4 linked regions of the Diceros bicornis minor genome follow. The protein of the gene in region 2 binds, or shares a complex with, the protein of the main gene of each other region. Links are inferred from orthologs where the notes say so. Each region holds a gene or a part of one and is shown on either strand. Other genes may lie near its edges.

Evidence for each region.
Region 1: the proteins of S100B (region 2) and CAPZA2 are in contact, whole or in part, in a crystal structure (PDB 3RM1), measured with the Bos taurus proteins. The link is inferred for Diceros bicornis minor from reciprocal best matches to the Homo sapiens genes S100B and CAPZA2. Residues at the interface, in NP_001029727.1 of Bos taurus: Ile37, His43, Phe44, Leu45, Glu46, Ile48, Lys56, Val57, Thr60, Phe77, Met80, Ile81, Ala84, Cys85, Phe88; in NP_001013016.1 of Bos taurus: Thr267, Lys268, Ile269, Trp271, Ile274, Leu275.
Region 3: the proteins of S100B (region 2) and RPS6KA1 are in contact, whole or in part, in a crystal structure (PDB 5CSJ), measured with the Homo sapiens proteins. The link is inferred for Diceros bicornis minor from reciprocal best matches to the Homo sapiens genes S100B and RPS6KA1. Residues at the interface, in NP_006263.1 of Homo sapiens: Ser42, His43, Phe44, Leu45, Glu46, Ile48, Val53, Val57, Ala84; in NP_002944.2 of Homo sapiens: Ala697, Met698, Ala699, Ala700, Thr701, Ser703.
Region 4: the proteins of S100B (region 2) and CAPZA1 are in contact, whole or in part, in an NMR structure (PDB 1MQ1), measured with the Homo sapiens proteins. The link is inferred for Diceros bicornis minor from reciprocal best matches to the Homo sapiens genes S100B and CAPZA1. Residues at the interface, in NP_006263.1 of Homo sapiens: Glu46, Glu47, Lys49, Val53, Lys56, Val57, Thr60, Phe77, Met80, Val81, Ala84, Cys85, Glu87; in NP_006126.1 of Homo sapiens: Thr265, Arg266, Ile269, Asp270, Trp271, Asn272, Lys273, Ile274, Leu275.

Annotation. Positions count from the first base shown.
Region 1 is NC_080742.1:67,796,384-67,804,033, forward strand, and holds the start of CAPZA2 (F-actin-capping protein subunit alpha-2), read left to right. Parts: upstream 1-4,644; 5' UTR 4,645-4,758; coding exon 4,759-4,797; intron 4,798-4,956; exon of another isoform or gene 4,957-5,220; intron 5,221-7,650. UniProt on the Homo sapiens protein: F-actin-capping proteins bind in a Ca(2+)-independent manner to the fast growing ends of actin filaments (barbed end) thereby blocking the exchange of subunits at these ends.
Region 2 is NC_080766.1:45,978,156-45,985,465, forward strand, and holds S100B (protein S100-B), read right to left. Parts: upstream 3,023-7,310; coding exon 2,885-3,022; intron 209-2,884; coding exon 68-208; downstream 1-67. UniProt on the Homo sapiens protein: Small zinc- and- and calcium-binding protein that is highly expressed in astrocytes and constitutes one of the most abundant soluble proteins in brain.
Region 3 is NC_080752.1:42,390,983-42,398,346, reverse strand, and holds the start of RPS6KA1 (ribosomal protein S6 kinase alpha-1), read right to left. Parts: upstream 3,086-7,364; 5' UTR 2,967-3,085; coding exon 2,832-2,966; intron 1,967-2,831; coding exon 1,850-1,966; intron 1,584-1,849; coding exon 1,502-1,583; intron 1-1,501. UniProt on the Homo sapiens protein: Serine/threonine-protein kinase that acts downstream of ERK (MAPK1/ERK2 and MAPK3/ERK1) signaling and mediates mitogenic and stress-induced activation of the transcription factors CREB1, ETV1/ER81 and NR4A1/NUR77, regulates translation through RPS6 and EIF4B phosphorylation, and mediates cellular proliferation, survival, and differentiation by modulating mTOR signaling and repressing pro-apoptotic function of BAD and DAPK1.
Region 4 is NC_080743.1:45,382,505-45,389,866, reverse strand, and holds the start of CAPZA1 (F-actin-capping protein subunit alpha-1), read right to left. Parts: upstream 3,247-7,362; 5' UTR 3,122-3,246; coding exon 3,083-3,121; intron 1-3,082. Other genes in the region: ST7L (suppressor of tumorigenicity 7 protein-like), read left to right, coding at 3,870-4,077, 5,883-5,965. UniProt on the Homo sapiens protein: F-actin-capping proteins bind in a Ca(2+)-independent manner to the fast growing ends of actin filaments (barbed end) thereby blocking the exchange of subunits at these ends.

The sequences.
Region 1 (7,650 bases), on a different chromosome or scaffold from region 2:
GTCTCTGTATTTGTCAGATAACTAACTGAAACTTAGGTCACATCCTCACAGAGCAGATTAGTATTATAATATGATGATTACAGCTAACATTTGTTGAGACCTTTGCCAAGGCCTGCAATGAGTTCTAAGCACTTTGTCTGCACCATGTCATTAAATCCTCACAACAGTCCTATGAGGGAGGTACCATTATTATCCCCAATGTATAGATGAAGAAACCGAAGTTTCCAGAGCAAGTTGCCCAAGTTACCTAGAGCTGGAACCAAGATCAAGACCCAGGACTTACTGATTATAAAATCTGTACACTTCACCACTAAGGTACGTGGCTAAAATACATGGAAAACTTTCTATGGGAATCTAGAAGAAGAAATTACTAGCTTTAACTAGAGGGTTCAATGCAGGTTGCGTGGAAAAAGGGATAACTGAACTGAATTTTAAAAAATAGGCAGCAAAGAACATTTCAGAAAGAGCTGCCACAGAGGCATGAGAGACGGTGATGCATAGGTAAGTTGCTTTGTGTGTTTCAGTGACATGTGCATTTGGGGCAGTGGCAGAGATGGGTTTTGATGAGGTTGGTAGCAACCAAATTATGAAGGACAGCATATTCAGGAGAGAGGAGTTACTGAAAAACAAGTTTCTTCAATAATTTCTTGGTAGTTGTAGAATGATCCATGTCAGGCTTCTCCAGGGGTGCCACTTTGTGGACCTTTTCAAATCCAGCTAAGGAAACAGACTACAGGTAGGACACACTCAACTACAAGTAACCAATAGTTTAGGCAATTATTTGATTTAGAAAAACAATTACTTTAAAAATATGCATGGTTTCTGACACTTTTTTACTGTCATAAAGAATATTATTTGAGACCTATTGTGTTCATTGATTATGAGACACTAACAAACAACAAAATATTAGTTGTCTAACACAGGTAGTTTTTCTTAGAAGTGAGGTAAGCCACACTTCAAACTACAGATATTAGTTTTCCAGTGCAGAGATTAAATGATATGGTGTTTTGGAAGTCTACATCTGGTGTAAACATTTAGTGGTCAGTCATATGTACTGAATATTTATCTTATTATACATTATATAATTAATATATATATGTATAAAATAATGGAAAGAACATGAATCTGACCATAGGGACACTTGGGTTCTAAAATAATATCAGCTAGATGTGCAATTTTTATCAAATCATTTAATTTATCTAAGGCTCAACTTACTTGTAAAATGAGGAGATTGTACTAGATGGACTCTAAGATTGTGATTCTATGAAATTAGGTACCTCTGACCTTGACAAGACTAAAATCTAGTTAAGGACATAGAGCACATCCATAGGAAAATAGATTAAGAAGTATACAAGTAACTTAAATACTACAAAAAGAAGAACTTTAAAAAAAAATCATTTTCTGGTGCAGTTAATTGGAAAAGCCAAGATTACATCACTAGTAAGCATAAGAAAGGTGAATTTGTGGGGCCGGCCTGGTGGCATAGTGGTTAAGTTCGAGCGTTCTTCTTCGGCGGCCCAGGTTTCACAAGTTCGGATCCCAGGTGCAGAACTACCCACCGCTTATCAAGCCATGCTGTGGCAGGCGTTCCACATATAAGTAACCAATAAAGTAGAGGAAGATGGGCACGGATGTTAGCCCAGAGCCAATCTTCCTCAGGAAAAAGAGGAGGATTGGCAACAGATGTTAGCTCAGTGTTAATCATCCTCACCACCCCACCCCCCAAAAATAGGTGAACTTGGGAATTAAATGAGAAAAGGGTAGAAATTCTCATTGAGGAGGTAGAGTTGTGTGTGAGAAGCATATTTTGTTTCTTTTCTCTTCATCATAAAACAACTGATTATCAAGAATACCAATACATTTCTAATTGCAGTCATATAATGGTCATTCCATATTTATACCCATTTCGCGTGACAGCTTGAAATCTTCCCAGAATTCCTAGGTTACGTGAATTCTATAATTTCTTTGAACTGTATCAAGAAAGTGGCATTGGGAGGTTTTTGAAATGATTATCAGAAATTATACAAAATTGCTAGTTGTGTCACCATGGGGAACCACATGTAAAGTATCACCAAGGTTACGATTATAAACATAGTCTGACTCAACTTACTGCAAACATACCATATTTGGGTGAGGTTTCTAGAAGAAGACAGCAGCCAATTAGTCAAGCAACAACATTTACTGAGTACCCACTGTGTACAAATTATTGATGTTCGTGTTGCTGAGTAAACAGAAATCAAAAAACAGAAGAAGAAAAAAAGGGAGTACTGTTGATGCAAGAGGTGGTGGTGAGTAGAACTGATGGGATGGAAGAGAAATCACCCTCATTAATTTTTTTTTTTTTTAATTTTTTTTCCCCCCCAAAGCCCCAGTAGATAGTTGTATGTCATAGCTGCACATCCTTCTAGTTGCTGTATGTGGGACGCAGCCTCAGCATGGCTGGAGAAGCGGTGTGTCAGTGCGCGCCCAGGATCCGAACCTGGGCCGCCAGCAGCGGAGCGCGTGCACTTAACCGCTAAGCCATGGGGCCGGCCCATCATTCAGTTTTATTTGGTGGGAGAGCGCCTAGAATTTAGATAGGGAGAAAGAAAGATCTCCAAGTAAAAAGGACAAGAGATATAGAATAAAATGCCTGGATTCCAATCTCTACTCAGTTAATTAGGAGCTGCGCAATCTTGGACAAATATTTAACCTCAGTTTGGCTCCTGTAAAATGGGTATAGTAATGCCGATAAATACCTTACTTCACGAGGTTGCAGTGAGAAATCAATGAAGTAATGACTTGTAAACTGTAAAAGAGTAAACAAGTTATTTATTTACATCCAGTGAGGTCCTTGGCCAAACTGTATGGTTTATTCTCTGTCACGTCTTCTCTGTACCATTTATCCTCAACAGGACACCTGCTTTTCCCTGCATGTGTCAGCAAGCTTCCCCTTTCTGTTGTCTCCCCAAATGGACTATGAGCTTTTCAATAGCATGGCTTCTGTTTGCATTCCATGCAGAAGAAACAATGATTTGCACACCATGAACACTCAGTAAATTACTTAATAACAGTGTTTTGCATATGAATAGTTATTTCAGCTCTCTAAGGTACTCTCACAAGTGTCATTTACATGCAGTTGTCAGATTCATCTTGCTAGACATATTTGTCACTGTTCAAAAGTTGTCAACAGCTTCTCATTTTCTACTGAATAAAGTCTTTTTTTAATATATATATATTTTTATTGAGATATAATTGACATATAATATTGTATTAGTTTTGGGTATACAACATAATGATTAAAGTCTTAACTTCTATCTAAACTCTAAGGCCTTGCTACTCAAAGTGTGGTCTCCAGACCAGTAGCATTGGCATCACCTGGGAGCTTGTAAATCTGATAAATGCAGATTCTCCAGCCCCATCCCAGACCTACTGAATCAGCAACTGCATTTTTTTGTGTGTGAGGAAGATCAGCCCTGAGCTAACATCCATGCCAATCCTCCTCTTTTTTTTGCTGAGGAAGACCGGCCCTGAGCTAACATCTATTGCCAATCCTCCTCCTTTTTTCTTTTTCCCCTTATTCTCCCCAAAGCCCTAGTAGATAGTTGTATGTCATAGTTGCACATCCTTCTAGTTGCTGTATGTGGGATGCCGCCTCAACGTGGCCAGAGAAGCAGTGCGTCGGTGCCCGCCCAGGATCCGAACCCAGGCCGCCAGTAGCAGAGCGCGAGCACTTAACCGTGAAGCCACGGCAGGCGCCAGCAACTGCATTTTAAAAATATTCCTAGCCAATTCATATATACAGTTTTGACTACATCTTCACTCTCTTGCTAAACTTGAAGCTTCAGAAGCTTTCAGATACAGCAAATAAAAGCAGTAGATATCCAATAAAAACTGAGAACAATGAATAATTTTTTAGTATCTCTCAAGTGCTTCATGGGACATACTTATACTTAAAATATATATTGTTTATTTGAAATTCAAATTTTACTGGACTTCCTGTATTTAATCTGTCAACCCTATTCAGAAGGGTAGGATCCATGTCTAACATAATTTTGTATTTCCCTGCAATCGTACTGTGCCTTCCCCAACTGCTCGATATATGTTTGTTTAAGGAATAGACAACCAGCTTAAGAACTGAGGTTTCTCCGGTTTTTGCTTAGCATTGTATATCTCCAGAGACACACAATAAATGACCAACAAATACTTCTCCAATGAATAAATGAATATACCCAGAACGATCTTCCAATTATGGACTGGGTTGGAGTGCATATTTTAATGAAAGCTGAATATTCTTCTAGTAATTTTTTTAAAACCAGAATGTTTAAAAAGCTTCTATTTGTACACTTTTTCACATTTTAGCTGGCAGAGTTCAGGACTTGATGGGAACATAATCAAGGGCTCAGAATGTACTCGTTGCCGACTGGGTCCATATGGTCACTGGTGGGGAAAGAATCCTATATTACTCAGGAGGATGACAGGCCTCCAGCAGGCTGCCGGAGGCGACTCCTCCGCCCTGCCCCCTCCCCACTCCCCCTCGCTCTGCCCCTTCTTCCTCCCCCGCCTCCGAGGCGCCCGCGCACGCGCACAGCCGCGCTCCAGCCCCGCGGGCCAGACGGAGGGAGGCGGGGCTCCCGGGGCGCGTGCGCGGCGGCCTGGGCTGTGGGCCCCTCCCTTGGCGGGGGCGCGCGGCGCGAAGGACTGCACGGAAAGGGGGAAGTCAGGTGGCCGGTGCCGCCGCCGCCGCCGCCGCCGCCGCGGTTTGTCGCCAGAAGGAAAATGGCGGATCTGGAGGAGCAGTTGTCTGATGAGGAGAAGGTAAGAGCCGCGGGGGCGGCGGAGCCCGTCGGTCCGGAAGCGAGCAGAGCCCTGGCGTATCAGCTCGGAATCTGGCCCCTGGGGAAGGGCATTGGTCTGTGCCCTCGCCCGCCTTTCCTCCTCCTCTCCTCGGTGCGCCCAAGTGCCTGCCCCCGTCAGTCACCCCAGGCCCCGCGCGGGGGCAGGTCTCTGCCCGGCCTGCTCGCTTCGCTCCTTGTAGGGTGTGTGCTCCGAAAATAGGAAGCGAGAGCGGGGCGGCGGCGCCTGGCGCGGCGGGCGGGGGCGGGGGGCGCCGAGGGCGGCGGCTGCGGGGACCCTCTGCCTCCGCCTGGGCCCCGGGGCGTTGCGCCCGCGTCTGGGGACTGCGGACGGGTTTGGGTCCCGGCCTGGGAGCGGCCCAAGGGCAGTGCCCAGCCCGACGGCCTGGCGGGCGAGTGTAGCCGGGGTGAGGGGTAGGGGGAAAAAATCGCTTAGGAAGCAGACCTTCACTTATCCCTTCTACTCCCTCCTCCCAGAAGCAAAATCCTTCCTTTCTTGGTTCTCTACGCTTTTTTTCCTTTCCCCGTGGAAGTCTCTCTCTCTCTCTCTTTTTTCCCTCTTTTCTTTTTTTCGGCTTTAGCTGTAGGCTTTGCAGTTCCCATGTTCCCCTGGAGGCAGTGGAGTTGCTCACAAAAGACCCCCCCCCCCCATAGTAGTTGTTTCCTGCTCAGGTTGGCATTTGGTGGCGTCCCATCGTCCTGCTGGGACTTCTTCCGAAGACGGGAGATTGTGCAACTCCTTTTTACTGTATCTTAGATGCTGTGACAGCATTAGAACCAGATGAACGACTTAAGTTCTTAAGTTTTCAGGCATTTAAAGCAAGAAATCTGATGATCGAACTAGTTCTCTTTAATTCGTCGTTTCCTTTGGCTACTGTGAGGCCCTATTCCATAGTGAGGGGGTGTAGACCCTACTAATTTTGAGTAGTTCCTGGAAGGGACCTTGACATTTCTCAGACTCAGAAGTAACTTATTCATAACTATCTATGAATAAGATAGTTTTGGAAGTGTCCGTTCTTAATTTAACAGTGTTCGTTTTTCGAAGTTCCAAAGCAGTACTGCCATGTATGGAGCACAAACACATCATAGTGTTTAAGAAATCCTAATGTAAGCCTAAGAATATTTTCAGTTGAAACTCTCTGCCCTAAGTGTTTTTATATCCTGTGTTCTTGCACTGGAGTGTAATGTTCAATCTCCTTCCCAATGTGATTGTGCAGCAATGAGCCTCGTCTCAGTTTTGGAAATCTTTTTTTTTTTCTTCTTCTTTTGCCCTTGCTTCTGGTGAAATTGATAATAAAACGACAAAATGGGGAGAGCAGCAAGATTCTCCATAATCCACAGCCCTGGTAGGCAGATCCCTGTATACACGAAAGTTACCTTGTAGCCTTGACATTGGTGAATAACCCTAGGTTGGTAACTGAAGATGTACGCAGGCTCGCACACGCGTATTTAAAATTAACTACTGCTAAAAAGTTTTTTAAAGAGATTGTCCTGTTATATTCTGCTGTTTTTAAGTGGTGGTTAGTAGCTCAAGTGGCTAGAAATCTAGCTGAGAAGAGAGTACTCAGTGTGGGAGTTAATATAGAGCTGCCATGTGTTGTAAAGGCCTAAAATAGCAAAGTTTTTTCAAAATGATATGGCAAGATTCCTTATCCAGCACTCTCAGGGCACTAAGCTCCATGAAGGTGGTAGTGCTGGGGGTGTCTTATTCTCTAAGCTTACCCAACACAGTGTTTTAAGAGTGAATAAATGAAAATTCTAATTTGAAAGAATTTGGTGTTTTTGTTTTTATTTATTTCAAGTTTTGTAAGACTATTCTGTAGATATTTTAAAGATAGATTTCATTGCTATATTTAGTAATTTAAGAAAAATACTGACCAAACTTTTGGGTTACATTCAAGTAACTGGTTAGGTGAAATTCTAATACTCTCATCACTTTAGTTATCTAAATGTACTTTTAATCTTTTGGGAGGAGGATGTTGGGTATGAAATCAGAAATAGGATTTAAAAGTGATATTTTTAAACTAATATTTGAATCATGTTACTCTTTCTGCCACCTTGTTTGTAATTTTCAAAAGTAAGCTTTTAATACTTCTACGCTCTTGGAATTTCCATTATTGGTTGCAGATCTAAGGAAGGGAAGCTGTTAAGACTTATGTAGTACCATACTTTGTATATGCCTGGCTCAGTTAGGCAATACATTTGTTAATTTATTGTGCGTTTGAGGTAGGTTTTATTATTACCATTTACAGGTAAGTAAAATAAGGTTTCAAAAGCTTAAAGTAATTCACCTGAGGACACCTAAGTAGGAAGTGGCAGAAGTGATATTTATTTATTTATTTTTTTGTGAGGAAGATCAACCCTGAGCTAACATCCATGCTAATCCTCCTCTTTTTGCTGAGGAAGACCGGCTCTGAGCTAACATCTATTGCCAATCCTCCTCCTTTTTTTTTCCCCCCTCCAAAGCCCCAGTAGATAGTTGTATGTCACAGTTGCACATCCTTCTGCTTGCTGTATGTGGGACGTGGCCTTAGCATGGCGGGAGAAGCGGTGTGTCGGTGTGGGCCCGGGATCCGAACCCCGGGCCGCCAGTAGCGGAGCGCTGAGCACCCAACCACTAAGCCACGGGGCCGGCCCCCAGAGGTGGTATTTAAACCTGAGTTTGAATCCAAAGTTGATGCTGTTGTGACATTACGCTCCCATAAACAGTTGATAATAGGACCCTCTTCTGGGTTTCTCTTTGTTTTTAATTTATTGACAGCTTATTTGAAAAAGGAAAAACAATATTTCTTTTTGTTTTTAAAAAAAATTTAAA
Region 2 (7,310 bases):
CTTGCTCTCTGCTTCCTTTAGTGACCTTCATCTCTGTTACAGGAACAGCTTGGCTGCTTTCTTTAGTTCACTGGTGTTCAAAGAACTCGTGGCAGGCAGTGGTAACCATGGCGACGAAGGCCATAAATTCCTGGAAGTCACATTCACCATCTCCATCGTTGTCCAATGTTTCCATGACTTTGTCGACAACCTCCTGCTCTTTGATTTCCTGAGAGATAAGAGAAATTGCCCAGCTTATTTTTAAAGGAAATTTAAGGACATCAAAACATGATTAAAAGTTGGCTGGCTTTCATAATTTGTATCAGAAACAATCCAAGATGTACAATACAAAATGCCAGAAAAGATTTCTCCTGTGACCAGGGACTGTTGGCCAGGCAGAACCCTCTGGGGGTCTGGGCTATTTAAAAAGACTGTATGGAACAACCAAGACCTGAAAAACTGCAGGTTGTTATCACTGTACTTTAAACAAAACACCTGGAAAAGAAGACTACAGTCTAGATCCGCATGGGCATATTATATGAAAATGTCTTGAAAGAAAAAATGAACTTTTGGCCCCCCTAAGGTTTTCATTGTTTCTGTGTGTGGAAGTTCCTATAGTGAAGGCTTCCAGTGGATTTTCATGTTTTGAAAGTGTTTTTTGGCTGAAATAACTCTTGGGAACATGTCCTAAATTTGTTAACTCCTTGTGTTCTTTTTGCCTGTTGAGTTACCTTATAGGGCATGGAACTTTTCCTGACAGTTCTCTTGTCCAACAGTGAAGCCAAGAGAATGGTGTCACAAAGGCTCAGAGGAGCAAACACAGTGCAGGGCTACAAATGTGGTGGAAAGAATGTGGCACTGAACACTGAAGAAGAGCATAAATGCGGATTGCTCAGAATAACTAATCCCTAGGGCAGGAGATCTTGGCCCAAAGAAGTCAAGTAAAATGTACAATTGCTGCCTTGAGTATAAAACATATGAAAGATTGAGATTCCAGTGGGGGTTGCGCTGGGCCCTATAAACATCTGCTGAACGGTGGTTGGGAGCAGTGCATTAATTTCAATACATTATAGATTTGCCTCCAAACCGAAATTACCTTGATAAAATGAGGCCAACAAATGTTCATGATATCTTGATACACTGACCATGAATTCTTTCTCTTTTATAAATTGTGGTTCCCACATGCTAAGCTTTTTTTATGTTTTAAAGTCAATAGTTAATAATAGTAGCTACTACTTGTTATGCTTTCACTATATGTTAAGCATTTAACAAACACTGTCTTGTTTCATCCTTACAACAATCCTTTTTACAGAAGAAACTGGAACTTTTTTTTTGATGAGGAAGATTCTCCCTGAGCTAACATCTGTGCCAATCTTCCTCTGTTTTGTATATGGGACAACGCCACAGCATGGTTTGATGAGTGGTGTGTAGGTCCACGACTGGGATCCAGGCCCTCGAACCCCAGGCCGCCAAAGTGGAGTGTGCAAACTTAACCACTATGCCACCAGGCCGGCCCCAGAAACTGGAACTTTTTGGTTGTTAAGTGGAAGGCAGAATTGTTGGGACTAGATAACTGAATGTGTGAGTGGGGCAGCTGCCACTCTGAACTTGGATGCCTGAGAAAACCAGTCCCAGAATCAAACTAGAGGACACCAACCCCTTTCAAGCCTCCAGGCTGCTTCCTCTGCTCTGGCAGTGCCATTGACAGCAACGGAGTGTTTGGGTGGGAGTAGGGACAGGAGAACCCCAGCCAGCCTTGCAGACGACGGGTGCTGCCTTGCTGCTGGAACCTGGGGCTTGTCCTGTGCAGAGAGGCTCGGCTAGGTCAGGAGGGCGGCTCCCCATCACTGTGCAGCAGGGCCCTGCCTGGTGCTCTGGTATCTTCCCCAGAAGTAGCTCTTGGTCAGACACTAGTGCACTGGTTCATTGTCTGGCCATTTCCCCTGTGTGTGATTGGTCCCTTCAATGACCTTGGTTCTGGGCACTAAGGGAAGGTCAGGTGCCAGGTGGACTGCAGTTCTTTGCCTCAAAGGCACAAGACTGGTATGCAGTAGGGATGCTGGGTGGCTGATCTGAGGGCAGTGGAGACGGTGGGTAGGGAAGTGAGTCCTCCATGAGGTGTCTGGACGTACTCCCACCACAGGCCAGAGCAGGAACTGCCTGGAGAGTGACAGGGCTCATCGGGGGCCCTCATGCAGCTTCCTAAGTTAGGGTCTCAAACTGAAGACGACTCTTCTCCAACGTCCTCACTCCAGGGAGCCCCCTGCAAGGCCTCAGGGCCCCCAAAGGATGCAGGGGCCTCTCTCGTGCCCTCAGGCAAGTAGGTTGTGGCCCTTCACTGATGTGCCTGGCTGGGTGCCCCAGAAGCAGAGGCCGTGGCTTCAGGCCTGTGTCTCTCCCAGTATTGAACATAGTGAGTGCTCAGTAAACTTTGGCTGAGTGAATGGCATCTTCTATCAGCATGGTGCATGCTAAACATCTAGCCAAAATGGTCCTTTTCCCAAAAACAAAAGCTTATTTATAACAACTTGCTTATATGTTCACTATGGCCCTTGATAAGTCATGAAAATATATTTTCCATCCCATTCTGCCATCATTATTGCTGTAAATCCTCAGATTTCTTTTTTCAGAGAAAAGTCAGCATTATTTGGAACTTTTGAGACAGCAGTTTTTCCTTGATGCTTCTACTATACACAAAACAGATGAAAATGAAAACAGTGGGGCCCATCTAAGCTAGTCTCCATAATGAGGGTTCAGTTGTGAAAACAACTTTTCAGAAGAAACCTAGTAGTCCTGAAATGGAACTGGAATCACCTCAGGGCAGCTCAGAAGAGAAAGTGTACAGGTGGTTTTATAAGTGGAGAGGAGAATGGCTAGACTGTTGATTTTAAAAAGCAAGGCTCACCTCTAAAAAATGGGAAAGCTCATTGTTGATGAGCTCCTTGAGTTCAGATTTCTTCAGCTTGTGCTTGTCGCCCTCCCTTCCGGAATATTGATGGAAAACATCAATGAGGGCCACCATGGCCTTCTCCAGCTCAGACATCCTAGGGGGCCACAAAGGAAAAATGTCTTCTCATGCTTCTGCCTTGTTTGTATATAGAACAGTTAAAGTGTTATCTAAACAGACCTCAACCCAGAGGAGGGGGCTAGACCGGCCTTGGCTCATCTTCTTTCAGGCTTAGAGAAGGGCACTCTGGGAGCTTGCACAGTTGTCACAATTCTCCCGTCTGCCTCTTAGACCCACTCTCCCACCCTCTCCTCTCTTCTCTGTCCCTGTGGGCCCCACTGATAAGTTCCCATGCCCTCTGGCTTCCAGTTGGGTTTGGCCAATGGGAAACTTCAGGAAAAATACAGAGGCAGAACAGTGAGGGAGTTCAGGGCTAGAGTCCTCCTTCTTCCCCAGTTGGCGACCTTCTGCCCTTGCAGGGCTCCAAGACGAGTGACAGAGCGTGGTTGAGCAAAGCGTCGACTGCAAGCCGTTAGAATTAATGAGAAAGAAGGTGACTAGGAGCCAAACGAGAATACAAAAATCAATAGTGTTCCTGTATTCTATCAGTAAACAACTAGAAAACATAGTAGAAAAATCCTATTCATATAGCAACACACATATCACTTAAGAATAAGTTTAGCAAGAAAAGTGCAGGTCCTTCAAAAAGATTCTAAGGATCATAAAATGTAGGAACTTGCTTTCCTTTGAATTAATACATAAATTTAGCTCATTTTTAATAAAAATATTTATGGGATTTTTTTTGATGGGTGAGGAACATGACCACAAAGCAGCTGTAAAATTCAGCTGGAAAAATAAATACAGCAGAATTGCCACACATGTTTTTGAAAAAGAAGATCAATGAAAGGTACCTTGACCTACTGGAAACAAAAATGTGTCATCAGGTGATGGGATCAAGCTGGTTCTGGGGCAGACTAGGCAAACGCGGCAGGAAGATGAGCCACAGGCGGGTGTTTAGCATTCACGCAAGAGCTGCCTCTGGTGCGCAAGGGGAGTGTCGCCTGTTCACTGATGTGGCCGCACAAATGCTGGAATAAGTGTTTCTTTGCAGTTGCCAACGTAAGAAACTTCCTACTTCCCTCACAGCATGTATCTTATACCACAGCCTGCAAACTGAGGAAATATCTGTTTAATCCTGGGAATTAGGCACATCTTAGACAGGATGGCTTGTCAGTTATCTCTTAAAACTGAGATACTCAGCCAGAGAAATTTACCAACTTTTGGCCTTGAGTTCTAATCATTAAAGAATCTTTGCACTGCCGTAGTTAAAAATAATAAAAAAAATTACATCTGATTGTTGAAAAATCATTCCCATGTTGAATATGTCACATCTTAAAAATAAACTGGAATAAAATATTTAAAATTTTACTTATTTCTGATTTCCTAAGGGAAAAAGGATTGAGAATGTTTGTCTTGGCCTGATCGTTGCTAAATTTACTCTATTAGTAATCAGTATTGCTCTCAAGTCCCTAAAAATCAGATGTATCACTTGTAGATACAACAATTCAGATGGATTAAAATCTTTAATAGGTCATACCTTCTTATCCTTTGCACTCAAGTTTTCAATTATTGATTTTTTTGTTTTTAAGTAACAAAACAAAAAACCCGAGAAACTTTTGTATCATCCTGATGCTTCTCAAAGTCTGTGATGATTTGGGGAAGGGGAGGTTAAACTAATTTTTCATGAAGAATGCCTACTGGGATTTTTTTAAAGGCAAGGCATAAAACATATAGTCTATATGTTCGAAAACTCCATAAAATGTGATTTTCTTCATAACCACACTACAAGTTAATTAGGAAAATTTTTTCCTATTAGATTCTCCCTTTTGAGAAACAATTGATGGTTTAAAGCTTATCTTTTAAGAAAAATATAAATCAAATATCCATGTTTCCTTTTCACTTCATTCTGTGAATATTCTGCATTAATCTTTTTATATGAAAAACAAGAGAACTTTTGGGCTTTAACTCCTTAGAGGGACACATCACACATGATGTGAGGGTCCCCTCTAAGGAAAGGGTCCTACTTCCCTGAGAAATTGTAAGACTAAGGAAAGTTAAACTCACCATAAACCCCAATTTCTTTGACCCATTTTGTAATTTACTTTTAAATAGTAAATTTACTTGTAAATTTACCTGTACAGTTGTCATGTAATTTCTGAGCGGTGTCCAGGGGGACCCTGACATTTCCCATTGAGGGAAACTGGAAAACCGAGAAGCAGGTATATACCAAGGGCTGGGGCAGAAGCCACGAGAAGAGAAAACATTGCTTTATGTTGCTTTATGAGATAGGGCTAAACTAGCGTCAGGTTGCCCGTCATTCTCAGCCCCTGGGAGAAGCAAAAACCCTGCTCTTCAAGGGGCAAAGATTGCAAAATATTTCTAAGAAGCACTATTTGTAGTACTTCTGGAGAAATGTCAGCAGTCACCTCTGAGCCACCAGACCTGAGGTTTCTCCGATTTATAGGAATAAAAACATAGGCAAATGAATCTCTAGCTACCTAGAGTTGAGGTGATCATGCCCACAAAACAGTAATAAGATCCACACTTTTGAAACGCTGCCATTTACCCTAAGGGGACTTTTTAAACTACTGCCCCATTCCCAACCCCACCCTCTTGATCCCCTGCCCCCAAAAGAAAAGAATAGGTTTTCCTGAGTGTCCTCACGTCAGTGGCTGTTGGTTGCTGCTCCTCGTCACCTCTGGCTGCAGAGTCTGGAGTGGCAAGAGTGATGGGCAGAGGCAGCCTCTTATTCCTTGCTCCCTGGGCGGTTGGGGCGTAGGCCGGTGCAGTCCCACTGCAGGCCGAGGCAGCCAATGGAGGCCGAGGGTGGGGGTGGGGGCGGCTGGGGCGGCCAGGCCTGCACACAGGGCTGCATTGACCAACTGCCACGGCCACCCAGGGACTCGCTGGAGAGCCGGGACTGCACATGGGGCAGGAAGTGGGGAGTCAGCTTTTTGTGCCATTTTTAAATTTATACACGAATATTGATGTTCCTCTAAAGGCAAGGTTGGAGGTGGGGAGAGGAGAGAGACGGATTAATTGATTCAGACAAAGCAAATGTGCGGCCAAGAACATGAAGCTTCCAAGTACAGGATGAACGCAGAGGATTAAACTCTGAATACAGAGTTTCCAATGGAGAAGCCCTGAGCTTCTCTCCCCTGGTCTGGCCCCCACCCTCGGACGGGTCGCCCTGCGGACATCAGTACTCTGAGCTAAGCAGGGTTGCCTTGAGAAGCCGCTGACCCCAACATCTGCAGGAACTGAAATGTGTGGCAAAGTAGGAACTTGATGCTTTTAGGGAAAAATCCTTATTTAATATGATTGAGGCACGTGCCAGGTGCACCCCAAGGCCTCCTTCACCCCAGGGTGAACAGTCACAGACTGTCAGACCTAGACAGTGCCCCAGACATGTCCTGTCCAAATGCTGTGTGTTATAGACAGGTACAGGCGGTGAGCCCCTCTCTGAGGCCCCACAACCAGCCACAGGAAAGCCAAGTACAGACTTCCCACCCCCCGTCTTCAGTGGTACCCTACCCAAGCTATTTCCAAGCAGAAACTCAAATGGTAGGCATTCCTCTAGACTCATTATACAAAAAGCATTTGCCCCAAACTCATCAAAGGACGTCTAAACCAGAATCAGGGCCCTTGTGCTGACTCAGGTCACAGTGGCCACGGAACGATCAAAACACAAAGATGTCTGTGGATACAGTTGTTTTGTCGTCATCTGTTTTACCAGGAAATTCATGACTGTTCAACACCCAGAAATGTCCCCTGGAAATAGCATGGGGCTGTGAGCCTCGGGGCTTGAGTCGTCCTCACCTGGACCCCGAGCCTGTCCCCACACCCCCGTGAGTGGGACCTGAGCGATGTGGTTTGGCTGTATTTCCTCAGCTGCCCCAAGGCTGTGGTCTCGTGAAGGGTCAGACACCTGCTTGCTCTGTGAAGTGCAGAACTTCCCACATCTGAGGAAGGAGCAACCGTGTGCTGGGTGCCCAGGCACTGTGTCTGAGGGAGCGCTGCTCCTGCGCACCCTAACCACTCCCCTGCGCGGCAACCTGGGCTCTGGGTTTGCCCTTCAGGGTTCACAAAAAAGCTTCAGCCTGCTCACGCAGTTTGGAATCCACTCATCTGACCACTGGATGCCTGAGCATGGGGCCTGCCATCTGGACACAAACCTCACAGCCTCCTGGGACAGCCAAGAGTGGTGTCCTGTGCCCACCCTGTTCCAGCTTCTGTGGGAGCAGGCGGGAGAGGACGTTCTTCAGAGAAGTGAGAGAGTGGTGTCAGGGCTCACAGGCTGCGAGAGAAACAGCCCATCTGGAGG
Region 3 (7,364 bases), on a different chromosome or scaffold from region 2:
CTCAGCCTGTGCCCCTGTGACTCCCCCTGGGATGCCTTTACCGGGCCCCTCTCCATCTGGCATAAAACCCCCCATTTCCAGTCTGGGGGCTGGTGAGAACAGTCACTTGGGGAGCTAGTTAGAAAGGCAGATTCCCTGGGCCTAAAAATCAGACTCATGGCACCTCCCACATACTTAATTTTTTTTAAGAATAAAAGTCCCTAGGCAATTCTGATCATCAGCACGTTCTTCTTTGACTCAATTCAGGCCTCACCTCCTCCAAGAAGTCTTCCTTAACCTGCCAAGCTGAGTCACGGCCCTCTCTCCTACCACGCTGTGCTTCCCCCTGCAGAGTACCTTTCACCCTCTATTTTAATTTTTTATTTCTCTCACCAGCCATGGCAGGGACCATGCTGGAGTTAACTATTCCAGTCACTGTTTCCTAAATACACCTTACATTTTCAAACCGTCCCTATGCTTTTGCTTAGGTAAACAGTTCCTCCTTCCTGGGGTACCCTTCCACCATTTTCAATCTGGAAAGCTCCTAATGCATCCTTCAAGGAACAGTTCAAATGGCTACTCCTTATGTGAGCCTGCTCGCTGTGAGGCTGCCACCCACCCTCCCCGGGGCTCCTGGGTCCCAAGTGCCGACTGCACAGCCTCTCAGACTCCCAGGGTCTGCTCAGCCTCTCCCGAACAGCCTGGGAGCCCTTCACAGCAGGGACCAAGCCTTTTCATCTTTCTTCTCCCCCGTGGCTCCCACCATCCCTCCTGAGGAATGACTATCACCCCTATCAGGCCAGCCTTGGGGCACCAAAGCTACATTACCCCCACAGATAGCCCTTCATGGGCCATATGACCCCTAATGTCCCCAAAGCCAACCCTTCTGATTCTACCCACCTCACCCCAGCTAGGGCCCACTCCACTTGGTAAGTGGTCGCACTGGTTCCCAGGCTGGTCAAAGAGTCCCTGCCCAGCCCAAAGCCCACTACCAATCACCCTCATGCCCTTTGTAAGTACTAGAATTCTAGACCTGGGCTCGGGCTCCCTTCTGAACCTCTCTGCCATCCATCTCCGTGGCAATGCCTTGACTCACCCTCTCCTACCCACCCAGCTGCTTCCCCGAGCTCCCTGCCTCTTCCCTCCTGCCCTTCTCCACCCTGAGAGGTCTCCCTCAGGCTCTTCTAGCACTGTGAAGCAACTCTGCTGACAGAAGGCCTCTGCCCAACCAATCTGATGCCTCATATTTGAAGGCCTCACCATAAACACACTGCACTCATCCCACCTCCCTCTAGACATTCACCTTCAGCTACGGTCATTGGCACCTGGCTTGCAGGATCCTGTCTTTGCGATCAGTTGGGGTGGGGGGTAAGGGGCGGCTGAGAACAGGCCTGTTTTTCTACCCAGCGCTCCTGGGGATAGAGCGATCTCCTCCATCAGACCCAGGGCCCTTGAGAGCTGGGCTGTCTCCTCAATCCCGTACCCAGCCTGGGCTCTGCATTGGGAGGTGTCCTCCACTCACCTTTCAGCGTTGCCTTCTTTAGTACCTTCATGGCATACAGGTGCCCACTGTCAGGCCGGGTGACCTTCCGCACCAGGAAGACCTGAAAAGGCAGCCAGGAAAAAGCAGAGGAGAAGCTGGGGATGGGGCTGAGGCCATCAGCTCCCATCCTCCAGATCCCACGCTGACCTCTAACTTCCCTGAGCCCCAAGTTGACCTTTTGCCCTCCTTGGGTACCAAGGTGACCTCTCATCCTTCTCTCAGATCCATCAACCCTTGCCCTCTGATCCTTTGAGCCCCAACGTGACTCCTTACCCCCACCTCTGACACAACCAGTGCTGCCCTCCCAGCTGTGGGCTCAAGACTCACTTTGCCAAAGGATCCCTGGCCCAGAACCTTGAGCAGCTCAAAATGGGATGGGTCGGCCTTCTCAGAGCCAGCCTTGACATGGTGCGTGATGGAGATCTCCTTGAGGATGCCCTCATCCTGATGGAGGGATAGAGATGGTGGGCACAGTTCTCCCATCCAGGCCAGAATTGGGCATGTCCCCCCATCCAAGTCCACTCCCACTGGACCTCAGCAGACTGGGCCCTCCAGGCCCAACCAGACAGCTACCCTGACAGAGCCAGACTCTGGGTTCATCAAGACAAAAGGGCCTCAAAGGCCGGGGAGGGTCAAACTACCAAGATGCCAGGTCAGGTGAGGCACTGCTCCTATTGCTTCTGCTGCTCTGGCCTGGTCAGGCCCAAAGAGATGCCCAGGCAAGCCGGGCTGAGCCAACCCCAGGCTCTGGCTGAGGCCCACAGACCTGCCCCAGGTCCTCCCTGTGGGGCACCCCTCCCCCTGCTGCAAAGATTTTGGTTTTGCCACAATAGGAAGTAGGGTTTGTTCTCACACTGGGGAGGCAGAGTTGGGCTTTTGCTCCTGGTCAGGATGGATGATCGGATCCCTCTGGTCAGAAGAACAGGGCTGAGATGCATAAGGACCCAAGAGTCACCTGAGACTCCCCACCAACCCAGTAAGTGCCAGTTTGGGGCAAGTAGGAAGCTAAGGCCAGAGGCTCCACGCCGCCACCCTCTGAAACTTCCTTCATACAAGTCTACTAGAAACCCCTTGCCAGGGCCTAGTTGTTCTAGGACCCCTGTGCTCTCCCTCCAATCTGCCAAGATTGCCCCAGAGCCCTGGTTCCCTCCTCACTTCCCAGGGAAGCAAGTCTGGGCAGAGTCCAGTCACCCAGCAGGGCCAAGCCTGGGCTAAGAGAGCCCAAAGCCAGCTGAGGCCAACCTGGCTGCCCAGACACCTGCTCCAAGGGCCACAGCCAGGCCAGGACCAGACATCTGGACGCACTCACCGAGTCCCGCCTGGGGCCAGAGCCAGGGCCAGGGGCAGGCAGAGAGGTCTGGCTGGTCCTGGGCCGCTGCTTCCTGGGTAGCCAGGGGAGCAGGGCCCAGAGCCGCAGACGGGGCGGCTTGGGATCCTGCTCCATCCGCCCGGCAGGGCCAAGGCACCATGGCAGGAGCAGGCAGCGTCCTGGGCTGCCGCGGAGGTGGCCAGGCCCAAGGCGGATGTGCAGGGTGAAGGCGGGGGTTGGGCCAGGCTCAGGGCCGCCAATCACTCAGGGCCTGTGGTTTCCCAGCTCCAGGCCTACACCCTCACCACGTTCCCTTCCTCTCTCTTCCCCCCTCCCCATTGCCTGAGGGCTGCCCTCTGGCCCTCCCCCTCATCTTCCCTGTGGGCCTGCAAAGGGAAAGCCCCAGGACAACCCAGCTGCTAAGGAGTAGATGGGTACCCAACAGGCAGAGACAGGCACCTAATATGTAGAGGCAGATAAAGAGGGATATCCAACAGGCAGAGGCAGGCCCCCAACAGGTAAAGACAGATGAAGGCAGGCATCCAACAGGCAGAGGTAGGAGGAACACATATCCAACAGGTGGAAACAGATGGGGACATGTATCCAACAAGTGGAGGCAGGAGGGGACTCACACCCAACAGGCAGAGGTAGACAGAGACTCACACCTAACATGCAGAGGCAGATGGGGACACATATCCAACAGGCAAAGATAGATGGGGACATGGACCCAACAGGCAGAGACAGATGGGGACCCAATAGGCACAGGCAGATGCGGGCTTGCATCCAACAGGTGGACAGATGGGGACACACACTCAACAGGTGGAGACAGAAGGGGACATGACCCAACAGGCACTCAACATGTCACATGTACCCAACAGGTGAAGACAGGCACTCATCAAGTGGAGACAGAGACAGGCACTCAACAACAGAGGCAGGTGGGCAGCAGACAGAGACAGCTAGAGTCCGTGAGGCCCAAGTAGATGGACAGACACCCAGGGCAGCCACACAGGCAGGAAAGACACACAGATACATAGAAAATCAGACCCTGGACTCAAGGGCAGAGCTCCAGGTTCTTGCTGGTCTGCCTCAGGGTGGGGAAAGAGGTGAGAGGGAATCACTTGCAAACCCCCAGCAGTTGAGAGAACAGCCCAGTCTTTGTGGCAGACCCATCTCTGAGGCCTTCCATTTCTCTGGGATTTTCTTCCCACGCCAGGGCCTGAGGAGGGCCCAGGACTAGGACAGTGGGCTGAGAAGGACATCTCCTGAGTGCAATCTGATGGCTTTCACTCTGATATAAATATCCCAAAAGCTGTTACCCTCATTTCAGGAACAGGAAACTGAGGCCCAGAGGACAGTGACTCACCCAGGCTCAAAGGGAACCAGTGGCAGAGCCGGCTTGAACCCAAGTCCTTCCCCTGGTTACCGCCTGGCCTGGGGTCAGCAGGACTCAAGTGCCAGGAAAGGGTGGGCAGGTAAGTGAGCCAGAGCCATGTCCTGCCCATCCAAGCCCACCCCCTCCCTCAGTACCAGGGTCAGTCTGGGGACTTCCCATTCCAGGTCTTGACCCTCAGAGACACAGCCCCATCTTCAGGGGACCCTGAATAGCCACAACAGCTGCAGCCACCAAAAGCTGCAGGCTAATCAAGCCCCTGAGTGTAACCCCGGGCAGGACACGCAGGAAGCCTGGCTCAGAGAGGGACTGAGGTGGGCCAAAGCCACACAGCAACCCCTGCCCACCCCACCCTGAGCTCTGAGCCTCCACCTATCTGTCTGCCTCTGACTGAAAACACTCCCTGGGGACAAAGGCAGTCATCCGGAAACCCCAGGGGACAGAGCCACCCCTAAACCCCTTCCTTGCCCAGAGTCATGGTGACAGACACCACTGGAGGCAGGCCAACCCTCTGCTCACCTTTCTGAGACAGGGAAGTGAGTCTCTCTCAACCCTGGGGAAATCTGCCGGGGTCTGCATGGTGGGGCTCAAGCCGGTGGCCAGAGGGCCCCGTTACTCCCCTTACTTCTGCTTTTTCAGCCTTCCCGGCCCAGAAGGCAGGGTCGCTGACCCCCTCCTTCTCACTTCCCCCTCTGCAGGGAGGAGGGACAAAGATGGGTCAGGCTCCCCTGCTGAGGAAGGGACACCGCAGACCCCAAGCCCATGACTCCAGAGGGGGCCCAGGGACACACCCTTCCTCATCTCCTCTGATCCTAAAGAGAGAAGACCAGAACCCAGAAAGAAGTCACAAGGCGATGAGGCGGTGACACAGTGGGCATCCCAACACCTGCAAAGATTCCCTGAGAGAATGTGGGGATGTCAGCAAGTAAGCAAGGCCACAGTCTCTGACTGCCCCAGCCCAAAGTGTAGACACTCCTTCCCCTGTAGTGACCTTCCCGTAGCTGGGCCCACCCAAAATGGCAGCCCACAGAGCAGGCACCACCACACCCAGCCCTACCCCGAAGAAGCCTGCCAGTCCAGGGCCCTGGGATGGGCAAGGGGGAAGAAGGCCCTAGCAAGGACCTCACAGAGGACTGAGGAGGAGCAGGTAGCCATGGGACAGGGGTTGACCAGGCCCAGCCCCCTTCCACGTGGTCTTGCCATATCATTCACACCCGTACACCACAGGAACTGACACACACACAAATACACACAGGCTGATGATCGGAAACCATTTCCACAGACATCCTCTATGTGGAAACACACGCCCCCACGTACACATGGACTTCCCCTTCATGTCCTCACAGGGCCTCCAATAACAGACTGATGATGGTCTGCCGGGGGTTGTGAAAGATGCCTCCTTAGACTGAGGCCTATTATTGCACCCCAGCTTCTTCAGTCAGGGGTGTGGAGGCTGGGGCAGCCCTTGGAGCCCCAAAGCTCTCTGGTCCAGCGCCAGCTGAACCTCCAACCCTCAAGTCCTTCAGAAGCAAAGGAAGACTCTGTGGCTAGCAGGGTACAGGAAGGGGCAACAGGAAGGAAACAGTCTCAGAGCTGCCTTCGCTGAAGGGTATGTGCAGGGCCTGTGAGGCCTCTGGTGGCAGTGGTGGGGGAGGACAGATATCAGACCACATCCCTTGGTCCCTTGCCCCATTCCCCCCATAGATACTTCCTCTTATTTACTTCCTCCCACAAGGCAGCTGGGAGAGAAGCCCAGAGCCCCCCAGCCTGATCCCTGGTCCGTAGGGTCCCCACCCTGGGCCTCCCTCTACCAGCTGCAGCCCAAACCCACCTGCCAACCTCCAGCCCTAACGGACACCAACAGCCCCTTCTCCAGCTGGCAGCATCCGCAGGGCCTCCCAGGCGCTGCCCCCTCTGGTGGGGCAGATGTCCCCAGACGCGTCTCCCAGCACGCCTCTGGGCAGGTGAGGAGGGGTCCACAGTTCCCAAGCATCCTTGACGGGGAAGCTGGCCTCAGGCACTAGGTTAGGACTGGCATGGAGTGGCAGCAAGAAGTGTGCCTCCTAATAATTGAGCATTTATTGCACGAGGCCATTCTTTCCTTCAACCTTTGCTGGTGTGCATTCTGCTAGGCTCTATGTCTTAGCTCCAAGGGAGGTGCTGTCATCCCATTTCAGAGATGAGGAAACTAGACTCAGAGAGAAAGTGACTTGCCCAAGGCCATGTGGCTAGAAAGGGGGAAAACTAAGAGCAAAATCAAAGTCTGTTTGCTTCCAAAGCTTACACTCTCAAGCACTGCATTATCACCCTCTCAGCAAGGCTGGCCAGCCTGCCTCCCCTCTGGACATCACTCACAGCTACTGGGCCCCTGCTCTGTCCCCAGGCCAGGAGCCAGACACTAGGAGGCGCACATGTTAAGGCAGACTGGGGCCCTGTCCTTAGGCAGCTCTTGAAAATAAATACACGATAACAAAACACAACTGTCCCCAGACAGAGCTGCAGTCAAGGTGCTAAGGGTGCCCAGAGCCGGTAACTATCTGCCTGGGGTGAGGGCTGGGAAGACCTTCCAGGGCAGAGGCAGTCCAGCTGGACCCTGAGGATGAACAGGACTTGGCCAGGCAGAAAGGAGGAAAAAAGACACTCCATGTAGAGAGAGACCAGCGTGAACAAGAGGCTTGAGGCCAAGAGGGCAGGGCGGGAAGTCAAGAACTGGCTACCCACTAGCTGAGTGCTCCCAGGCCAATCTCTTTCCCTGTCTGAGCCTCAGTTTCCTCCTCTGTAAGATAGAGGTTAAAATGAGATGTTTCACTCTAAGAAGGTTGTTTCTGGAAGCAAAATGGGCCACAGAGACAAAGGGACATTGTAAACAGAACTTCTTCCTGGATTAGATGGACAGTCTTACTGCTTCGGGGTCTCTGCAGGGCAGGCTGAAGGGACAGAGCCCAGCCACAGGGTCCCAGGTGCTGCGAGGGTGGGCTACCCTGCCCTGGCCAGTCCAAGGGAAGTTCCCCCCAACACCTGAGGCTCCCAAGGCTCCCCCAAGTCCACAGTCACATCCTGCCTGAGCTCCAGCCAGGGGAGCATGAGGGATCCGGGAGGGATCAGGGTTTCATAAACAGGAAGAGAGGAGGGGAGGGGGGAGG
Region 4 (7,362 bases), on a different chromosome or scaffold from region 2:
AACTTAAAGCACATAGATCATTTCTCAGTTACGGTACTTTTGAAGTTGTACACAAATATTCTGATAGTTAGGCTGAAGGGAAAAAATATGCTTATGGCACTTTTTTTCAGCCCTAAAACTGTTTGCATTTATATTTCAAAAATGCTGAATCATGAAATAAAGGAAACGGAGAGTGCAAAGAACCCAAACAAGTAGTTCATCTCATATTTTAAGTTTCCTAATTATGGTATCTTACCATTTTGGTCTTGTTAAGCATTTGCAATCAAGTAACTGAAGAGTCTAAGTAACCAGAGGAGTACAGCTCATTCTCAGAAACTGAACTTGAGGACAAGACTAAAAGCATTTATTTCTGCAACTTATTACACTTTCAACTTCCTGTTTTATTTAGGCAGCTCATCATGACCATTTCAGGTAACAGTGCAGAAGTTAACAAACCCAACTTCCTCTTTACAAAGTGATAAAAACTTCAGCAGTAGTTATGAGAATGGTTGATCTTATTAGCTTTTATAGAAAACACTTGCAAGGAAATCAGAGCCCATCACCACCAAATTCACCTCTGGGTTCACTGCTTTCAGAAAATGTAACAAAGATAAAAAGCAGCACTAAAATATATTCAGCATCATGACACACATGCCATAAAAAATAAATAAATAAATCGAATGCACTTGAGGTCTTAGCTAAAAAGAGGAAAAAAAATGGAAACTAGAGTTCCTTCAAGGAAGAATCAATACAAACTAAGGCTGAAAATACCTTGTTTGTAATAGTGTCTCAGTTGTGAAGGTTTTCTAGGCCAAGAATCTCATTTAAGGATTATTTATTGTTTCTGAATGCTAAGATATTCACATCAAGAAATCTTGTTGGAAAAATTTCTCAATTCTCGAATTCAGTTAAAAGGAATCAGGAGTCTGGAGGAAAAGGGGGCAAAGCAGGTATGAAGCTGAAGGAGAATTAAAGTAATCTTACAAGTCAAAGCTCTTTCTTTTTACTTACAGATTCACAACAGAGAAATACAGATGGGTTTCATCTCTGTCTGGGAATAAGAATCTAACAAAATTTCAGTAATCTCAAATCATATAGATTTATTATACAAGATTTTTACTGTATCAGCTATTCTCATTATCCACAGTAATGAAGACAATGTGGTTAATCTAAAAACTGTTTACTGAATATGAAATTCATCAGTATTTTTTGGCAGTAGATTTACCTTACTAATTATGATTTGCTTGCTATGTCATTATTACAATTAAACCACAAAAAGAAGTATGCTGGGAGACAAGAGGAAACTGGTCACAGATCTTCTGTTATAAAATCAAGACTATTAAGTATTAATTTAAACACTGTTAATATCCAAAGACATCTTAATTTGCACTTTGAAATACAGATATATTTCCCAAAGTTTAATTAAAAGGGCATTCTAACCTGGTGTCAAAGACAAAACTCAACAGCACTGGTAAATGTAGTATCGCTCAGGCACAATAAACTCCTAAGTTTATTGTTATTTAAATTCTTAGTGAAATATTGTTGTAATATTTTTGCTTAAAATAAGTGGACCATCAGTTGGGCTAAAAAATGTTTTATTATCCCATGATCTTCACTGTAATTTAATTTCATCTGAATCAAAACAATTTGCCTTAGAATAAGCATTTTATTCTAGATTTTTCTCCAGCATAAGTTCATATTTAAGATGCCTTTTCCCCCCTAATCTTATACATCTATGAGAATTTCCAAGACAGAGAAAATCTAATGCTAAAGTGTCGTTCACTGGCCTGTGAGTGTTTGGCACATTCTTCAGCATTTCAAAATGGCATGCCATATGCAGGTGTGATGTATCAAATTATTCTGTACAGAGAACTCACGGATCATAAACAGTTCCCTCCTACACCTCAATCTCTTTTATTAAAAAAAGAATGAGCTCAGATACATTTACAGAGAACTCAAGGGGGCACATTTTGTAATAGCCACCGTGGAAACAAAAGACATAATTCTTGTCCTATAACAAGTCGTCTAGTGAAAGCATTCTAATTTCTACAGGCCCCGAAATCATGTATTTACCGAAAAGCCTGACAAACTGTTAAGTGTGCAGTTGTCAGAAAAAAAGTTATTCCACCTAAGGTAGAATATGCTTTTGTATTTAAGACACTTTTTAAGAACTAAGTATACAAATCACACACTGGCAAATTCAACTATAATCAGACACCACAGTGGAGCATCAAAGAAGGCACAATGCTTTGTCCAGACCTGAATGTGTTAACATAAGGTGTGTGCTATATACAAAGCCTTTCTGGAGTTTTAAAAGAAAATCCGTTGGCTATTCTTGATTTGTTAACAAGAAATCGAAAACTATTTTTCAAAAATTATGTTGAGGATGTAAGCCGCAGTGGATGGAGTCGCCGCGGGGGCCGTACGTACACACATACAATCAAGGGAGTGTCTGCGGGGAAAAGAGTGGTGTTCAAATTCTGAAGCAAATGTCCTGGGGCTTACACATTTATCACTGCGAATTAGTTCAGCCGATAGCATGTGAGAAAAGAGGTGGATGTGTGGAGAGGCGGACAACACATGGGGACCTTTCCCTGTCGAGGAGTCGTGACAGCAAAATCACTTCCTGAGGAAGGAGGAGCAAAAGGGAAGTTAAGAGGCCACCCTGACCAGGAAGTGACTTGCTCTAAACTAGTCTCAATCATATCTAAAAATGGGGGGATGGGGTGAGCCCCAAAAGCTAAAGGCGGGTAAAATAACTGCTTCCTGATACGTCGCGACATCACCATCGCCCCCTCTCTTAATTACAGAAAAGAGTCCACAGTTACTATTCAATAAGGGAAAGTCTCTTCTGCAGGAAGGCCACTGGGCTGTGCCTCAGGCCCCGGAGGAAAAGCAGAGAGTTGAGGAATGGGGAACTGGAGCCACCGTGAGGCAAAGGAAAGCCCCTCAAGAGGGAAGCGTCCCGACTGCGGAGAGCGTATGCCAGCACGGGCCAAAAAGCTTCTTTCTCCTGGGGACGCTGCCAGGGTTCCCACTGCGGCCAGGTCGGGCCCCTGTTTCCTGTCGCGGGACCAGGTAAGAGAAGATGCGGACCCCTTACCTTCTCCTCATCCGACACCCGATCGTCGAAGTCGGCCATCTTGGGCTGCTCTGGCACAGCCCGGCCCCGGCGCGAGGCAGGCCGGGAAGAAAGCCGAGTGATGGAATCACCGCGGGGGCCGTCGGAAGGACCAGCCCGGAAACGCCGACCGAGAGGGCGCCATGTCAGTTACGGGCGGGGGTGATGGCTTCGGGCGCTAGCGCCCCAGGAAGTCGGCTTTGCCTGAAAGGATTTTAAGTCTAGTATCTTTCTCACTGAGTTACGTTCATTTCCCCATTCGTCTATAGGACGCTGGGAGCGTGTTTCGACTGTTCTTGGCGCCCGAGCTCCATCCGACCAAATAGCAGTTGCTACTTCTATGGGTTTTCCCAGTACCAGTGATCTCTATGACAGCCGAGTCCAAAGGGCTAAGTGCTGCTCGGCCCCTCGAACGATCGGTGGATTTTCCAACCCCAGGAATGGGGTGAAAGGTGATCCTCACTCGTAGGGAAGCAAAAACACTTCATTCTGGGGTCACATCGTAGGGAAGCAAAAACACTTCATTCTGGGGTCACATGTCAGTCCAGTTCCTCCAGAATAGGTGCTGCTATTCGCCCCTTCCCGCCCTTCGAAGGAGGAGGTAGCCCCACTCCTGGCGCGTTCCTCCACTTGCCAAAGCTCAGTCCCCGTGCCCTGGAACTTTCAGCCTTCACAGAGACCGACTTCAGGTCCGCCACTATCCCAGGATTCCCGACTCCCAGTTTCCTGCCCTCCCCTCCCAGCTCCCGGCGTCTGAGGGAGCGGCAAGATGGCGGACGGTGACGGCCTGGGTGAAGCCGCGACTACTGCGGCCTCTTCTCCTGTACCTACTCCCGGCCTGAGCCCGCCGCTGGGCTGGAGGGAGCGGCTGCGGGCAGGGCTGGCAGGGACTGGGGCCTCGCTGTGGTTCGTGGCGGGGCTGGGGCTGCTTTATGCTCTGAGAGTCCCGCTGAGGCTGTGTGAGAATTTGGCAGCGGGTGAGAGGCCCAGACTTCCCCGGGGACGGGCGGCAGGGCCAGGAGAGGTGCCGGGGACAAAGGCCAAAGGGCAGAGATTCTCAGTAGTCACTGGAGGGCCTCGGAGCATGAGTCGGTGGTCCGCGACCAAGTGGGTTCTTTTCTCCTGGGTCAGAACCCCGCAGCTGATTGTCAAACCTGAGCTGCTGCTACCGGCTCCTCCCAAGAGCTCTTAAGATCCGCCCTCTGTCTTCTGTCCTCGTTTACCCGAGGAAAAGCCACCTGACAAGCTGTAAGCTTCAGGTGGTAGGACAGATGAGAGCATTTTCAGACTTGGATGCAGGATTTATATACACCCGCACCGTTGGTAGGATCCCTTAAAAATCATTTCTTTGAGTCTCCCGCTGCTCAGCTGCGAGTACCCACACCCAGACAACAAAGACGAGCGCTTCTGTAATTCAAAGATCTAAAAGAAAGAAAATGATCTTAGCCAACCATTCTCATGTTTTAAAATAGTTCTGTCAAGAAACAGTTTTCGTGATATCTTTGTCTGTTCTTTGTTTTAGGCTTTATCTTTAGTAATAAAATAGAACAGTGCAGGAAGAGAAAGAGAGCCACGAACAGCAGTGGGTTCTTTTCTTAGTTCTTTCCACATTTTTAGAGAGCTTGCTATGTAGTCTGGCCTGAAGATACAAAGACGTGTAAGAAGTGATGATCCCCGTGGATTCAGCAAATATTGTCCTTTAGCTAGAGCCAGGACTAAGTGGATGGGAGCCAGCGCCTCTTACCCTGTCATTACAATATTTCAACTCAAGCTCTGAGCAGCAACCTCAGACCAAGATGAAAGTATTTCTGTTATGTGATGACTGTGAACTATCAGTACTGTGGTTTATTTTTCTGTAGAAAGAAAAGGCAAATGTCCCCTTTTCTTTTCCTTGACATGATGTGAAAGACTGAGATAATGTTCTGAAATATTTTAGACTTTTTAGAACATAGGTACTATGTAAATTCAGATATAATTAGCACACTAAAACAAGCTAAATGAATTGTTCTTCTTAGACTGTTTGAAGGAGCTAATTTGGTGTCTGTAACAGGTTAATGAAGTGCTTACTAGTGGTTTGTATGCTCAGTGAAATGTTATTCATTGAGTTTATCATTTATTTTTCTGTGTGTTAACTAGGTAACACTGTTTAGATGAGAGTAGTTGACTATTATAGATTTTTATTTCTTTCTAAAACCAAAAGTATTTATGAGACAATTATTTGAAGAATCTGGTCCAGGCTTTCAGTGAGTCAGGTGCAGGGAGCTCTCAGTTTGTTGCTGTTATCTTTGGTCTGTTTTGCCTCTCAAGCTGACATATCAAATACATACACTGTTTCCCTCCTTCTAATTTGAAAGGCAGGTTTGTGTCTCACCAAATCGTGAGGGAGTGGTTTTAAACCTTTGTAACAGGATGTTTATTTAGCTTATCCTTATAGATTTGTAAAAGTTCTTGTCTAAATTATGCTTTATAAGTTCTTAGTTTTATTCTCAAAAACAAGCTAAATTATCTCATTTTGATTTGCTTATTTAACAAATCAACAGTGTAAAATTCTATGCTTACATGTGTGAAGGCATTTTTAAGATATGATACAGTGGGAATTTAGCTTTTTAAATTTACAAAATTAAAATTTAAAAAATTAAAATTTACAACTTTCTCAAATGAATCTCATACCAGATATTAATACTACTCGTGTTCCTTCACTCATAAAGATACCTACATATTTGTAACTTGAGTACTTTGAATTTGCACTTTTTTAAACTGATTTTTTTTTTCCTTTTGGCAGTGACAGTATTTTTAAATTCATTGACACCCAAATTCTATGTGGCCCTTACAGGGACATCTTCTTTGATATCAGGACTAATATTTGTAAGTAGTTTCCATTTCTTTCATGCTTTGGTGTTTATCTAAAGATCAGATCTTTTTATATGGCTACAGTAATTATGAATACTTATAGATCAGTATGCTCAAAATGTGTTCAGTATTTGAAAAAACATTGCATCTTCCTCCCACTTTTAGAAATTGGCAGTATTTATTTGCATGTAAAAGACTACTATATATGGTAGGGGGCAGGGGCTGGGAGGTGAGTTGTGAGCTAAATACCTGCAGGGCCCAGCTTGGTAACAAAAATGAGTGAAATGGACAGAGTGTAAGAATTAAATTCCTTATTTGAGGACTGGGTAATCTGGACAGTGCATGCTCCTTCTAGAAGACACTAAAGCTAATTGTTGCCATTTAGACTTGCAGACCAGTATTACCAGATCTTCCAATTCTTTAAAAGATTTCAAGAGAACCTTATTATACAAGTTTTTATATAAGATCTCCCAGTACTTTAATGTGAGCAGTATTGGGCAGACTAAAAATTTATCTCTGTCTTGAATTCAGCCAATAGGCTGCCAGTTATCTTCTCTGGAGTGCTTTTTTGTGTGTGTGAGGAAGATCAGCCCTGAGCTAACGTCCATGCCAATCCTCCTCTTTTTGCTGAGGAAGACCGGCCCTGAGCTAACATCTATTGCCAATCCTCCTCCTTTTTTTCCCTTTTTCTCCCCAAAGCCCCACTAGATAGTTGTATGTCATAGTTGCACATCCTTCTTAGTTGCTGTATGTGGGACACCACCTCAGCATGGCCGGCCAAGCAGTGTGTCGGAACTTGCCCAGGATCCGAACCCGGGCCGCCAGTAGCGGAGCCCACACACTTAACTGCTAAGCCATGGGGCCGGCCCCTCTCTGGAGTGTTTAAGAGCAGGGTTTTGAAGCCAGGCTAACTGTCACTTTAGTTGCATGCCTTTGAGCAAGTTAACTTTTCTAAACCCTGATTTCCTCATCTGTAAACTGAGGATAATAATAGTATCAACTTCATAGGATTATGAGGACTGAATGAGATGATATGTGTAAAAGCTTGCAGCAACATGGGAGCTAGCTCAGAGTGAAGGCTTAATGAATTTTGGCCATTGTTATTCTGAGAAGTCCCACAATAAAGAAACCTGTTTAACTTTTTTGTGTGTGTGTGAGGTAGACTAGCCTTGAGCTAACATCCGATGCCAATCCTCCTCTTTTTTTGCTGATGAAGATTGGCCCTGGGCTAACATCTGTGCCCGTCTTCCTCTAGTTTATATGGGACGCCACCACAGCATGGCTTGACAAGTCGTGCGTTGGTGTGCGCCCCAGATCCGAACCTGCGAACCCCGGGCCGCCGAAGCAGAGCGCGCGCACTTAACCGCTGCACCACCCAGCTGGCCCCGAAACCTGTTTAACTTTAATTCACC